2 linked regions of the Struthio camelus genome follow. Each later gene encodes a partner of the first gene's protein in a complex. Links are inferred from orthologs where the notes say so. Each region holds a gene or a part of one and is shown on either strand. Other genes may lie near its edges. The genes, in order: ARMC8 and GID8.

Region 1 (7,879 bases):
CCACAGCACTTGGGCACGCTCAGTGGGAAAAGGGAAAATGTAAACATATACTTTAAAATTGGTTCCTCGGTGACAAGTGCCATTTCTATAGGATGTGTCTTTCGTTTTCCTGAAAAAGAAAATAGCCTACCCACTTTTGGAAAATGCGGATCTAGTAACTCTAGCTGACTGGAGTAAGCTGATCCAAAAAGGACAGAAGCAACAGTAGCATGGGAATCCTCAGTGCACCATGATGCTGACTAATTGCAAGCCTTAAAAGATGACACCCTTTGACTGCTGAGGAACAGCATGATGAGAAGCAGTTGGGACCTTGTGCAAGCCAGATTTGTCTGGAAAAATACTCCTTTCAAAAACAGCCCTTGAGATGAAATTACATAGCTCTCTGTAAAGTGATAGATCACCTCTTGGAAGACACCAGGCTGACTGTAAGCCTGACAAACTGTCTCTCAAAAAAGCCTTCGACCAGCAAGTAAATTGGCAGACAAAAATAGGTATTGGTCTTGCATGTAAACAAAGTGGCCCTGAGCTTCAGGGCGTGTGGAAAGCAAATGGCAGTCTAAAGATCACCACCTAGAATTATTTAACAAAAAAAAAAAAAAAAATTACTGCTATGCTGCAAAACACAGGATTTTGTTGCAGCAACAAGCTTGGGATAGATTAAGCTTTTACAACACTAGATAAATTTACAAAGTTATTTATATTCTGTTCTTCTGCCAATAACTGCAAAACAATTAAGAGAACTTCTGAGAGAACACAGTATCTAATCCCCTACAATAGTCATATGAGGTAGTCTTCTATGCACTAGCAACACCGAATATATTCAATAGCCGCACACCTGACATTATTGCTGACCTTGCAGAGTGCAGTCTTCAAAGTGTATTTTGAGAAAATTTGAACTGTAGAACAGTATACGGAAGATGAAAGGTTTAGAAGCACACCTAGGTAGACACAAAGCACACTCGTAAGACCTCTCAAGTATAAGCATGATGTACCGTTTAGGTTTACAGAAGGAAACTATGACTACACGAAGCTAGCTCAATTACAAGGACAGTAAATAGAAAGATAGATATGCACACTTCCATACAGATGTGGAGATGCAGAAATGGCATACATTTTAAAGAGCTCTTAATCAGGTACAGTAAAAGCCAGTAGTCATCCTTCTAAGAATCTCAAAATTTCAAGATCTGAACTGAAATTAATCATTTACTGGTGGGTACAAGCACTTACTTCTTCCTTGTGTATCTACTACTAAAGCTCAAATGAATATGACGATAGAAATGATGTGAAAAGAAATACTGCAGGGAACTTGGGACTTTGAAAGAAGATCAGTGGAGCTACATACAGCAATACCAGCCAAAAAGGAAATGCTTTCTCAGTTTTCCTATAAGGAGGAAAAGGAAAAAGCTCCTCAGCAGGTAAGACTTCATTGTCTGGCAAAAGAAAAAGAGAAGGAAAGGAAATAAGAGATTTGATAATTCAGATCCTTTCAGCATATGTAACCCTGAGCTTTCTCAAGTTACAAAATGTCAACTGCATTGACATGATTTTCAAGTTCAAGAAATACTTAGCTCCATTTTACCTTTATCAAGCCTAATTCAGAAGTTAGATTTCATTAAAATGTACAAGAGTGCAATAAAAGAAAAGGCCCAAACTCAAGTTATTCTTCCAGGTTTCCTTAATACCAGGTGAAGAACAGAACTACTGCACCTGAAGACAATCTGCAGAAACAAACCCTCTCAAGACAGCCTATTTCCTGGTCCTCGATATTCATACAGTTCCATCAATCAAAATAAAAATCTAGGTCATCAGTATTTTCAGCCAAGATGCAGGAAAAACAGCACATCTTAGGAACCAAAGATTTTCAGTGAATTATGCAGAACACTTGGCAAAGCTTCTGACAGACACTTCTGATGGGACTTTAATCCCCTTCTCCCCACCTCCCCCTAGCATCAGTTCATTCCAGGTTGAATACCTTTTTCAGATACCCTGAAGTCAAAGGAAGAAGGGCAAAGTAGTTCTTGTCTGCCTGAGGAGAATCTTGGACTGACAGAATTTGTTAGAGACTATATACACTATTCTGAACTGGACTGTATCACATCCATCCACCCATATTCAGGAAAAAACAAATCCATCACGCAGGATTTGCTTAGTGTCAAGAAAGATAGATTCTCAGAATTAGGATCTTAGCCAGAGTGTCACGGATCGGTCCTGTAACTTTTTCCTCCTTTTCCCCTGTACCCTTCAGGGGCACTAATCCTGTCAGATCTGTAACTTTCAAAGGTCTGAGTCTAAAGGGAAGGCATCTTCTGTGCAACTCCTTCAGCAGTTTCAAAGTAGCAGCATCTGTTACTCCAACAACTAGAATAACTCGGATCCATTCTTAAAAGACACCTCCTTCTTCAAATCTGTTCTTACTCACACCCCTTATAATCTCTCCAAACCTCAGAGCATTTGTTTGAGAAGAAATGTCTCCTCCACCAAGCTCAGCCTCAAAGATACTGCCACATGGTCTTCATGGTAGCAAAATTCAAACGGTAGCAAGAGCAGAATCCAAAAGAAGTGGATCCAAAGTGGATCCGTAAAGGACATGTCCAAGTACCACAGGAAAAGGATGATCTGAAAAAGCTACATGATAAAACGACCAAAATAGTGAGCTACGAAAAATTCATGAGGCAAAGCAGCAAAACATCTCTTATATTGGAAGCCAGGAACCAAGCTGGCAAACAAAAAAGAAAGTTATTGTAAAATATATTGGTATTCTGTTGTCTTTAAATGGATAGCTTATGATCTCTAACTGCAGAGACATATTCTGCAGTTACATAGTTGCCCCTTATCAATTTATCTGTTCTTAGACCACATTAAAACTGAAAGGCAGCTCAGCATAAAATCAATTGACATTGCAGATGCTAGCTGAGACAAAGAGACCGCTTAAGATTTTTGTTTCTGGGAAAACTCTTTGCTTAAACTTCAGAAGATGCGAATAACAACTCAAAAGATAGGGAAGGGATTCCCAAGGGTTGGGGTTCCACAGTTCTTTGAAAAGAAAGGACCGCAGGGAGGGAGCACCACCCAGCGCTCAGAGCATCTGCCGAGGAGAAAAGAGGGGGCTCAGTCAGCCCACTTGCACACAGGATGAGACACATCCTTGCCCCTGGGAACATCCAACTCACTTTTGTGAGCAGTGGACTAAGAAGGCCAAGAAGCAGAAACAAAGCCAAACTTTTCCACAGGGAACAGTTAAGAACCTGTAAATATTTACACTGGAGGACCAGAAGGTTTTATACAGGTAACAAAAGGATATTTCAACAACAACAACAAAAAAATCCAAGATAGTTTTATACAGGCTGGGTTTTTCAGGCATTTCAAAGGGATACTTGACTCTGATATGTTCCCTACTCCCTCCCTGGGACGCTTTCCAGAGTGACTTTGCTCATCTGCTATTGGAAACACCTCAGACTGTCCATGAGCAATGAAACCCAACATTCTTGGCTTTTTCATCCACTTAGGGCTTCAATGTCTTCTAGCACTTTGCTAGTTAGCCACTGCTAGCAAGTTACACGTAAGCCTGAGAAAGCCTGGTTTCACCACTAAAAGTCAGTCCTAGGCAAGGACTTGTGTGCCACATCCCCGTGTGAATATAACGGAAAGCTTATAGCTCAAGGACAGTAAGGAAACAACTAGATCTTTGCACCAATTTTACTATGCGCTCACTAGCGAGAGTCTTCTACTGAATTTTTCAGCCATTACCTCCTGTCACTGGTATGCAACAGACATACTGAAACATAAGTTATATCTAAATTAATTTCTATAGAAGCATTTTCTTTCAGCTCTCAATTCCCTTTGATGAGACAGAAGTCATATCCAAAAAAATCAACACTCCAGGCATGATGGCAGGGGAAACAGCTGAAGAGGCAAGTATGCTGACTTGGCAGTGAAATAAGAGAAAAAATTCTCATCAGACCTGGAAACGGAACAAAAGGAAAAGGCCAGAAGGAAGAAAAGTATCAAAAATAAATTTGAATGCTCACAGAATGTTTTACCTCATTTCTAGCAACTGGGAGGCTGGGGTACTAACCCTATGCACCACAAAGTGATAGTATGCTAAAACAACATTCTCATGTTTGCAGGAAAATTCACATAGCGAGTTTTCCAACAAGATTTATCTAAAAAGATGGGAAGAATCTCTTTCCACTGACATATCACACTACTAGAATTCAAGCAAACTTAGCCTAGGTACAACAACAGTTTGAATTTGTTTCATATGACTTACATGACACCTTGCAGGACTTTCTGGGGATCGAGGTCAAATAATCTGTCAACATAGTGGCGGCTACTGGCCGTTACTTCCTGCAGAGAAATAAATATATATATATATATATTTTTTAATAATTTACATCAACTCATATAATGGCAGACAAAAAGGAATGACTAAAAAAGCAGCAAGTCTACAAAACCTACCAGGCAAGATATCAGCAAAAACACAGAATCATATTTACGTGCAGTATGTTACTGCTGGGCAACACCCACACAAGGAATTAACCTTGTGTTTAAATGTGATTTAAAGAATAAGATTTACCTAAATGTGGATATCCATGTTATGAGTCAAAGCAAGTTAATGGAGCACCTCCACGTATTTAAATATTTATGAATAGGTCATGCAAGAAGGGGTCTACTTGAGGCATCAGTCCTGTCTTCACTTCAATTTTATTGTGTGTAATTACTACATAAGCAGAAAATCCCTTACAGAAAAAGTTCTTAAGAACAGTTAACGTTGCTCAAGAAGCATACCCACAAGCGAACTCTCAAAAATAAGGAAGCTTGTATTGAGACATTTTTCTGAAACTTACCTTATTGGAAATATTTACATGTTTCAGAGACTCTGTCCTTCTATAAACTGGTCCCCACAATTCCAACACGGACAGCAGCACAACACCCTCCATAACATTCCCCTAGCTACTCTATAACACAAAGTGAACTAACTCTCCTCTCGGCAACAGGACCGTGCTTGCAAGTTAAACGCTTATGCACCAGTGATCTGTCATTCTCTCTGAGAAGCTCCAAAGTTGGAGAAGGAAAGCATTCCAGAAGAGAAGGGTGGGAAAAGGCAAGGGAATTTTCCCTCCAGGTTCTCATGAACACGTGCCAGAGCGCCTCTCCGCTGTCTCAGTTCTTTTTGCCTGCTCAACCTTCTACGAGCCTTCTCCTGTTTTCCCCTTACGAGTTTTCCTTGAAAGGAGCTATAAGGAAGCTGTAAAGTCCTCCTCGCTTTCGGGAGCATCTACACTTGGACTAAGCCTGCTCCTGCCTCCCCCTCCAGATGCTGGAGGTGCCAGCAGCTTCTTGCCTGTAGTCCCACACAAGTCTGAGAGAAAAAGAATCATCTAGAGACTGCAGGCGTCTTGCCTCCAAGAGTACTACTACGTTCTGCCAAATAAATTTGCTTTCAGTTCAGCTTTCACCACGTAACCAAGGACAGCGTTTTTGAGAACAGCAGCGGGCTTTCACCTGCCAGGTCTATATGTTTATACGCAAAAAAAATATTTTGGACTTCAGACCTCCTGCTTCTAACACATCCCGGCTTTCACCCTACTGACTATTAGATCTGTAGCCTGGTGAAGAAGGTCGGTCATATGCAGCCAAACAAGTTTTTCCAAAAAAAAAAAAAAAAGTATCGGGGAAAAAAGAAATTTATTGACGTTATCATAGTCTCAGGGTCCTCTTAGCTAGCAGCAAACCGCAGCCAGAGAAGCCCTTAAGCTCTCCGAGGAGCAGCCACGCTGCAGCCCTGGGCGCTGTGCCTCCCCGCGGCGCCGGCGGCCGTGGGAGGCGGGCACCGGGCACCGGCGCCCTCCCCGCAGCGGGGGCCGCGGCAGCGCGGCCAGGAGGGCACACGACCGGCGTTTCGGCCCCGGACAGCCCCCCGCCCCCCCACACCGCCGCCGTTCCCCCACGCGGCCGCTCGGCGCTGCGGCTCCGCTCGCCGGCCGCGAGTTGCCGCGGGCCCGGGAGGTTCACGGCGGGGCGCCTGCAGACGCCGAGCCGCCCCCCCCCCCACCCAAAAGGGAGGTGAAAACCCCTTCGTTAAAGGTTAAATCCGGGCGCGTTTCACTGTCAGACGAGCCGAACTCTCCAGGAAGCGGCCGGGGGCCGCCCCGGCAGGGCGGCACGGCAGCGGCCCGGGGGAAAGCCGCCCGCCCGGCCCGCGGCCCCCCCCTTCACCCCGCACACAAAGCGGGGCCGCCGCGAAGGCCAAGGTCAGGCCGGGCCCGGGGGCGGGGGCGGGGCGGGCCGCGCGGCACTCACCGAGAGGACGCTCATGCGGAGCGGCGCCTCCAGCACGCACGCCATCTTGGCGGACGCAGCAACTCCGGCGGCGGCGCCCTCAAGCCCGCGCGCGCGCCGCCGCTGCCGCCGCCACCACCGCCGCCGCCGGCGGGCACGGCCACATCGCGGAGCGCGGCGCCGCCGGGGCGGGGGGGGCGGGGGGGGGGGGAGAAGAGGGGAGGGGCGGGGCGCCGCGGACCTCGCGCCCAGCGAATCGGCCGACGCCGAAACCCCGCTACCTTCCGCGAGCCCGCGCCGCCGCGCCTGCGCCGCCAGCGCGCCACGGCAAGCCGCAGGGCGGGCACCTTCCCCCCGCCACACCTCCGCCCGCGCATGCGCCCGCCGCCGCCACCACAGCCGCCTCTCCCGCGCCGGCCCGTGAGTCAGGCGGGCGGAGCGCGCAGGCGCGGCGCGCCGTTACGGGGGCCCAAAGGAGGGGGAGAGGGGAGGGGCGGGCCCCGCGCAGCACGATAACGCCGGGCGAGAGGCGCTGCTGCAGCAGCTCGCCGGGGGCCTCGGTCCCGCAGCCGCTCAGCGCCAGGGCAAAGCTTACCTACCCGCCGAGCCGCTCGGGAAGGCACCTGGGCGGCAACGGGGGCCCTGCCGCTGCTCCTCCTCTCGCTGGGGGAGGCGGCGGCGGCTGAGCTCTTAGCTGAGGCAGCCCCCGCTGCCGTCTTCCTCATCCGCGGGGCAGGAACGGCAGCGGGACTTTCGAGGGAGCCCCTCGGTCTCCTCCTGCGCGGCCCTAAGGCCCCGAGGGCAACGCCAGCACTCGGCAGCCTGACTAAACCCCCGTCCTCGCTCCACGAGGGCCCAGGTAATCCGGTGAGGTGCCTTCCTGACTGCCGCCGCTCTGCAACAAGCAACGAGGCTTCGCTTTATCTGCCTCTGCTCTGACTGGCCTGGGGGAAAGTCATGGCTTCTTCTGACATAATCTTGTTGCGGTTTTGGGGGGGGGGGGGGGAGTTGTAGTGAAAACCTCAAGAAAAAGCAGGAATTTATCCAGTTTGGCTGTAGCTTTCCGTAAGAGCTGATATTTTGGTATTAGTCCTCCTGTATTTCGTTCCTTGAGATGTGGGGACGTCATTACTCCTGAAGACAGCACTGAATGGGGGCGGGAAGGTAAAACCACCCCAGGTCAGGGTTCACTTAAGTCTTCATTTTTGCTATTGTAAGGTAACTGTTAAACCCAAGTTTGCCAGCTGTTAGCAGAGATTCTGCAGAGGATAACAGGGGAGCACAATAAACGTTTTAAGATGCTTTCAGAAGTTAACTTTAATAGCAGCTGATGTTTGCTTTAACTTGAAAAATATTCCACTTCTCAAGAAAAAGTAGTTATACCCCTTTTCTTAGTTTGTTGCTCTTTGCGTAGATTTAATATAACATGCTCTGAACAAAATACTTGTGTTAGCCACTTTTCTCAAGCACTTTATAGATAACAGTAAAAACGTTTTCAAACTAAAGGCAAGTCTCATATACTGAACAATGTGATTATGGCCTGTACCACAGTCTCATGGAGATGAGCATTTTCCAGATATTTCTCACTAAAATCAAA
Region 2 (7,879 bases), on another chromosome or scaffold:
TCAAACGTTTGGAGATGCAGAGCCCCAAAAGATGATACTTACTTTATGTTCAGCCCCTTTTCTCAGTTCTTCCTCACTGAACGTTCCAGGAAGCCAACTTCAGCAGCCAAGTGAAAACTAGAGTCAGAGCTAGCCCATGAAAAGAGTAGGAAAGAAAGCAAATGAACAAATGCTCTTCCCTCCTCCATTTGTTTTTTGAACAGATAATTGATCATTTTCAGTCAGGAGAGGCTAATTTTTGTCAGCTGTGCTCAAGTTTTTACCTTTTTGGTGTATAAAGGCCTCTCCACCTCCACGGTCCAGCACACAACTCAAAACCAGACACCACGGGTGTCAAGGCAGTCTGTCCTTTCGGAGCTCAATTCTCCAAGGCAGCTGAGTCATCATTTTTCATAAGCACTGGGTGCACACAGAAGTACTTTGCCCTCAGGTTAATTACGTTCACATAAAGAAAGCGTTCCCCTTCCCTGTCAGGAGACAGAAGCTGCCAGGGATTTTTTTTTTTTTCCCAGTTCCAGGTAAACTTTTTCCCTGAACGTGTACCCTTTCACAGGGATTTTAGTGACTTCTTCAGGGATTAGTGATTTTAGTTTGGGGTTTATTGGACTCCACTCAGCTCCAAATAGCAGCTACCAAAATACCTCCAAGTAAACTCAAGTTTATCAGATCATAATCCAAGTAAGAATTCTATAAATTGCACTGAATTACTTAAGCAGATATATCATACAAGTTTCGCTTATTCTCAATTTTGTAGTCATAACAAAGGCCAAATTTCCACAATATTACTACTCCTATTACCGTAAGATTATTGTAGGACGGTGGCACATCAAAGACACAGGCTAGTTTCCAAAGAGCAAAATACTTTTCTCCCATGCCTTCTAATCCAACTTTCAAGCCACAGATGTGTCCCGCAAGGTTTTCACCGAGTAATAAAACAAAGTTTTGGTTCCAAGTTTGGGGAGAATCTTAATAGAAGTTAGGATTTACTGCTAAGAAGAAGTGGAATGATGCAGGAAGCTTTTGCCCTGAACTGCCAGACAGCTTTGTGCCTTCCTACTCCCTTTCACTTTTGTGAGGCTTAGTATCTACTAGAACAAAGTCCTGCAAGCCATACGTGTCGGTATTGCCAAATCTTTCAGTATTCCAGGCCACAAAGCACAGGGTACATAAGTGTCTCACTAAATATGCACATCGTTAAAGACAGCAAGCAGATATTATACATGATATGACTAAACATTTAATCAATAGGACACAAGTTAAAAGGAGGGGAACACAGAAGGGGACTAGACAGGTTTATATCAGGAGAGAGTTAGTACAAAGTATATGTCCTTTATCACTCAGGAAACTGCCGAATCCCTCAAACATGCAGAATTTTCATCGTATCCAGCACACTAGTAGGGAAGACAGGCCGATATCAAGATAAAGTAATTACAGTTTTATAAGTTATTATATACACTTGTGATCTTACCACATTGGGCCAATGCAACCAACAAAAAAGCATTACTATGAACAGTACTATTCAATATTATTTAACCACATAAAACAACTCAGGCATCAGAAAAGCACTTTGTTTTCAGCCTCAGTAAGAAAACACTTAATTAGCAACATTGAAAATGTTTTTGTTGCAACTCAAGTGATTATAAAACCTCTTCTCCTCTCAAATAAAGCTGTCTCTAAGAAGCTTTGACATTACCAGAAACATCAACAAACTAAAAAAAGCAGAGGAAAGGGAAGAAGAAGAGAATGCAGTGGACGTTGCATTCTATACAAACAGATTACAAACTTCTTTTTGGTAACCTCAGGGTCAGAAAAAAAAGCCCATTCCTAAAGAAATAGGTGGGGGAAAAAAGAGCATTTTTCACAACAAGCAAAACCACGACCCAGGATCTGCTTTTAGCCCATTTTTACTTTTCTTTATCCCAGAGGACAAGAAAAGGATAAAGGGAAACTTTTCTATTGAAGTTAGCTGAGCAGCCCAACTTGTTTAAAAAAAAAAAAAAAGTATTAATGCTGCACAATCACACATGCTGCGAAACAGCAGCTCACAAATTTTGGTTGGCTTATTCAGTACGGTATTCTACTTACTAGAAAGCAGTTACACCTATTCTCTGCTCTTTACCTGTAAGCACTAACTGTGGTATGAATTACACTCTGGTGTCTCCTCTCTGCTTGAGGTGTGGTTCCCTGTCTAGCAAACTCGGGAAACCCTCCTAGAGAGGGGCGTTTGCCCACTCGCTCCCTCTTTATGGAAGTCTCCTGAGAAACCCCACCTTTCAGGGAGGAGCTGATAAAATCAGGGCATCTAAAAGAAACAGAGATTTACAAGCCCGTTGGTTCAGAAATACAAGAAATGCAGGTCAGAACATTTAAGAGAAAAGTTATGGTTGCCTAAGAGTGAAATTCACTGAGAAAGGTTGTTAGATTAAAGCCTGAAGAAATCCCGCCCCCCGTCAAAGCAGCAGGAATACTTGCCAACACTGTAGCTTTGCCATATGGCTAACGACAGCTGATGGCATGTCTGGCTAAATACGTTCTTCTTTTGTGCAAAGCTCTGTATTATTTATGAGCCTAGAGGTTTGTTTGGAGAAATAAGTTAAAATCATGTGTTATCGATTAAATGCAGAGATTCTCAATTTCAACGGGGATACAGTTTTAATGAAACTGAGTTTTGGAGACTGTGCTTATGGCACAGTTGCAAAAAAAAAAAAAAAAAAAAAGGAGTGAAACAAACAAGTAATTGTGTCCTTATTCTCCCTCTGTGAAAATTGAATTTTCCAGGGGACTACCATCTCCACTAATCCACACAGAAAAAACTGCATCTCTTAAGGCCCGCTTTCCACGTAAATATACAAACTGATTTTTTTTTTTTCGTTATACAGTGCTTTCATTCACAACTCCTATTGGATTTAGCGGCACTGAGCGGAGTTTATCGCTTCTTTTCCGCCGCCAGTACCAATTCCGACAGAGATCCCACAGCAGAGCCCTCCGCCGCGGCAGCTCACCCTGCCCCCGCACGCCAACAGCAACGGAACCGTTAATTTCACATTAACGTGCCCAGCCGTGACCTACAGTAGACCCGCCTCCCTCTGCGCGACCCTGGAAGACTGGCCGGGCCGACTCTGCGGGCGGTAACCCCAGGCTGAGCCCCCGGCCCTCAACCCCCTTGGGGACGGCGGGCGGCCGCGGCCTCCCCCGGCCCCTCAGGCGCGGCCGCCTCCCTCGCACGTAGGCCGCCGCCCCCCCGCCCCCATGGTCACCCTGGCGGGGTCTCCCTCAACTCTATGGTGCTGGCGAGCCTCCCGCTCCCACCTCCCCTTTCGTCTCTATGGTATCGCCTCCCCGCTGGACGTGTGGGTACATGCAGGGACGGGCGTACGCTCTGCTCCGCGCCCCAACTCTATGGTTGCGTTTTCTCGCCGCTCTCTGGGCGCTCATTGGCCGAGCGGGCAGTTCTCGCGAGACCCGCGAGCCAGCGGCCTGGCTGAGGCGGCGGCGGGGGCCCGCGTTGGTGCGTCGGAGCCGGCAGCGCGGCGCGCTCGGTAAGATGGCGCCGGCCGCCCCTTCCCTGCCCCGCGGGACGGGGGCTGGCGGGCCCTTCCCCTGGCGCGGCCGCTGCGGGCGGGGGGAAGGCGCTGGGGCCTGCGGCGAGCGGGGCCGGGCGCTTCGGGAGCCCGGGCCTTGGCGAGGGCTGGGTCGGGGGGCAGTGGCTCGGGGGGCAGGGACCGATCGGCCCCTCAGCCGGCGCCAGGCTGGTCCCGGCTCCCGCCGCCCAACTTTCCCCGGGCCGGTCGTGGCTTCGGCCGCGAGCGTCGGGGGAGAAAAACCTGTTGGAAACGGGCCGGCGGTGGGAACGCGCGCGGGTTCGCCCGAGAGGGGTGGCGGTGCCTGTTGCTGTTGTTGTTGCCTTTCCTCCCCCTTTCGCTGCCCCTATGAGATGCAGATAGATGCCTGGAAGTGATTAAATGTCGGCTTAAATTTTTGCGAAGCGCTCTGCTTCCGAATCTGGAAAAAAAAAAAACCAAGTAGGGGGAAAAAAAAGGCAATAATATTTTGGATGTGATGTCAGGAGTACTTTTGCTGTCAACAGCCAAGCAAAGCTAGTATGAATCTTTCATTTGTGCATTGGATGCCTTAACACGTAATGTTTTGTAGCTATCTAGTACAGGTAGCTATCCAGTCGAAGCTTGGAGGAAAGCTTTAAAGTAGATGTTGTTCACAGAGGCTTTGCTTTAAATGTTTGTTAACAAATTTTCTGGTTTGCTGCCAAACTCTCGATTCATTTGTGTCACACTGTGATGCTGTGTGTGCTGTATAACTCTTATGCTATGTTTATTTGGACCACATATAAGAGAAAGATGAAAAGGTGATGTGTGAATCTTGTGTTTTGACAGTTGAGGAAAGCAGCTTTAGAGACTGGTCAGTATATGTGAAAGAGTGCAGGAACAAGGTGGGTAAAAATAAAAAATAATGATTTGGGATAAACAGGCATCTTTTGGAGTGTTAGTTTAAAAGATCTCATAGACAGCTGTAAAGGTGGTAGCAATACAGTGCTTATGTACGTTAAACTTACTTTTTCTGGAAACGTGTTAAATGAGTTGCTTTTCTTTCCTTGTAGTAAGAGGCCAGGATGAGTTATGCAGAAAAACCTGATGAAATCACAAAAGATGAATGGATGGAAAAACTTAATAACTTGCACATTCAGAGAGCAGACATGAACCGCCTTATCATGAACTACCTTGTTACAGGTAATAGTGAGTAGTAATGCTAGGAGACTCTTAAATGTGTGTCACTTATTTTACCAAGACAAACAGTTTTTTGCTAGAACATGCTACTGGATGGAGTAAAATTAAGGGTGGTAAGGATTTCATAATTACTAGTGGCTTTTCTTAGCAACATATATTTGCTCCTGTGTTCTGTTAAATGGAAACCAACTTAATTAGCTCCAAGCAAGGAGTTCAAGCAGATTTCTTACGAAAGAAATGACACTTATTAATCCCAACTCTTCTGCTAAGTGGTATAGAGAAGAGAGTATTTTTTGGAACACAGTGTTAGCAAACATGACTTGCTTCCAGCTTTAGTCCTTCTTTGTGCCATTTAAAACAGAGTTCAAGGTATGTCGCTATTGTTAAAAAGCGCTCTCAAAGCTGAACAGAACAATTGTCAGAAGCAACTTTTAACTGGCTAGAAAGTTCAACTGCAAAAGGGCACCATTATCAAAATAGTCTGAGACCAAAACCACTTACCTGTTTAGCATATAGCCTAACGTTATACTTAGAACAATCAAAAACCCTCGGAAATGGGCCCTAGTAATTATGATTAATACTATTCCAGTAAGCTGTACCGGGGCGGAGGCATTTGTATTTTATCTACACCCCTGTTTACACTGCTGTGTCGCTGGAGCCTCTGGGATGAAGGAAGAGCATTTCAGTGGGTGTTATAGTTAGGTATGATAAATCATTTGTGTGCGTATGAAAGCGGGACTTAGGATTTAGAATAGCTCTTGTAACTTTTTTCCAAAGAATATAGTGTTAGTATGGGAAACAAAACCAATTTCTTTTTTCATTTTGTTCTCAGTAAAACTGGTAGGTCCATGTAAACAGAATTGAGGGGGCATAGGGAGAAGGAAAAATGCCCAAACTTGGAAAATAGTAACATTTTGGGATAAGTATACTGCTCAATTTAAGTGTAAAACAAGTTTTATATTTAAGAGATGTTGGACTATAACTTGCATGCATCCTTAGAGAATGGGCAGTTGAATTAAGAATGAACTAAGCATTATTCGATGCCTATTAGAATTAATAGGTACCTATTTAAATGATAAGAACTTTTCAGAAGTTCAGAATTAATCTTTTAATGACAAGAATACACAAGTAATATACCAGTCTTTTAATTTAAGCTCTGTGTGTGTGTGTGTGCGCGCTTTTTTTTTTAAGGTGCTTCATTAAATAGTTTTTTAAGGGAAAATGTTTCTGTTTCAGAGGGATTTAAAGAGGCAGCAGAGAAATTTCGAATGGAGTCTGGAATTGAACCCAGTGTTGATCTGGAGACCCTGGATGAAAGAATAAAAATTCGAGAAATGATATTGAAAGGACAGATTCAAGAAGCCATTGCATTAATAAACAGTCTCCATCCAGAACTGTTAGATACAAACAGATATCTTTATTTTCATTTGCAGGTATGGACAAGTGGCGAATTTTATCTTTCTTGTCAGGGTTGCTGAGAGACTGGAAAAAGAACGGGTGTGGGTTTTAGAAGCGCCTTGAGGGGTTCTAACTGAATATGCCTGCAATTGCAAGTGTTCTTGACATCATTTTGTAGCAAGGGGAAACTTTGTGGCATGCAGTGCAGTAACTATCATATACAATTAGTAACATGAAAACTTCTAACAACAGTCCTCTCTGACTTACCAACTTCCAAATAACTATTACCTTGGATTTCTGGTAGTTCTGGTAGTAACGTCTTTCAAAACCTGTTCTTCAAAAGTGTCAGTCTTTTCAGTAGATTTTGTACACAAGTCTGCTACTCTGTCTCACGCACGTGGAAGAAATGACTTCAAACTGTCAAGATTATCAACTAGTATTTGTCTCAAATTGCATACTAATGACTGAAGGTTACAGTCTTGAAATACTGAAGATTTGCTGATTAGTTTAGCTAATATTGCTGTATTTCTCATATGTAGCAGCAGCATTTGATTGAACTGATTCGGCAGCGTGAGACAGAAGCAGCTCTGGAATTTGCTCAGACCCAGTTAGCAGAACAAGGAGAGGAGAGCAGAGAATGCCTGACAGAAATGGAGCGTACGCTGGCTTTGCTTGCCTTTGATAATCCTGAAGAGTCACCATTTGGAGACTTGCTTAACATGATGCAACGACAGAAGGTAGTACTTTCCCAAAACAAAATTCTCGTCTTTTATTCGTATGTGGTAAAATGGTGTCTAAATATTTTTAGAAATGTCTAGAAACATGTATACAGTGGTAGGTAAAAGAACAGAAATATCTCTGAAGTGAAATTCAAAAAACTGATGCTGCTAGAGTCAACTGCTTGGCTCTCTTCCATATCCTATGAGACTGGAGAAAACACGGAACTTTTTCCTGACCGTATTCAGCGGAGTCAACAAACTGTGTGCGGTCATCAATGTTTGTGTGATGTTACTGGTGTTAATCATAGGAAAACTACTACTAAACTCTAGTATTTCTTTCCCAGGTATGGAGTGAGGTGAACCAAGCTGTCCTAGACTATGAAAATCGTGAATCAACACCCAAGTTGGCAAAGTTACTGAAGCTACTACTGTGGGCTCAGAATGAGCTGGACCAGAAGAAAGTGAAATATCCCAAAATGACAGACCTCAGCAAGGGGACAATTGAAGAACCTAAGTAAAATGTGTGCAGATGGACATCAAATAATCTTAGTACTGCACAGTATACATTTATATCAGTCTGTGACTGAAATATTTTTACTACAGTACAGCACTCAATTCAGATTTTTCAATGAACATCTAATTTGAAGGGAGAAAAGTCCCTTTTGAATGCTGCAAAAACTGCATTGAAAGGCGCTGTATCTCTTTGAAAGTCTGACTTAGGCTATGCACTATAATACATTTTTAAAAAACAATTAAACAGGAAAGGAAACATAGCATTTTTAAAAGTACAGAACTCAAGGTTTCTAATTGGCTACTGATGCCTAGTTTAGTGGCCAGTGAGTTAATATGGAGTTATATTGGCAACTCTTCAGTTAAGTTTAACTGTCTCCTCTTTGAAATGTGTATATAGAACAGTGAATATTTTCTACCTTTAAGTTATAGCCACATATACATTCCCCTTGAAAGTAACTGGTCAAGTTTTCATCTATAAACTTTGCAGTAAGGTCAACCTTTTGCCTT

The links.
Region 2: the proteins of ARMC8 (region 1) and GID8 are in contact, whole or in part, in a cryo-EM structure (PDB 7NSC), measured with the Homo sapiens proteins. The link is inferred for Struthio camelus from reciprocal best matches to the Homo sapiens genes ARMC8 and GID8. Residues at the interface, in NP_001350870.1 of Homo sapiens: Asn45, Val47, Ile48, Gly49, Asn50, Val85, Ser89, Met92, Arg127, Arg130, Arg161, Tyr162, Tyr166, Leu200, Ser201, Tyr202; in NP_060366.1 of Homo sapiens: Ile83, Ala84, Asn87, His90, Pro91, Glu92, Leu94, Asp95, Thr96, Tyr101, Tyr183, Glu184, Asn185.

What each region holds. Positions count from the first base shown.
Region 1 is NC_090950.1:5,469,305-5,477,183, forward strand, and holds the start of ARMC8 (armadillo repeat-containing protein 8), read right to left. Parts: upstream 5,059-7,879; 5' UTR 4,941-5,058; coding exon 4,848-4,940; intron 4,348-4,847; coding exon 4,271-4,347; intron 1-4,270. UniProt on the Homo sapiens protein: Component of the CTLH E3 ubiquitin-protein ligase complex that selectively accepts ubiquitin from UBE2H and mediates ubiquitination and subsequent proteasomal degradation of the transcription factor HBP1.
Region 2 is NC_090959.1:16,275,594-16,283,472, forward strand, and holds the start of GID8 (glucose-induced degradation protein 8 homolog), read left to right. Parts: upstream 1-3,317; 5' UTR 3,318-3,539; intron 3,540-4,615; 5' UTR 4,616-4,627; coding exon 4,628-4,745; intron 4,746-5,978; coding exon 5,979-6,175; intron 6,176-6,679; coding exon 6,680-6,877; intron 6,878-7,203; coding exon 7,204-7,377; 3' UTR 7,378-7,879. UniProt on the Homo sapiens protein: Core component of the CTLH E3 ubiquitin-protein ligase complex that selectively accepts ubiquitin from UBE2H and mediates ubiquitination and subsequent proteasomal degradation of the transcription factor HBP1.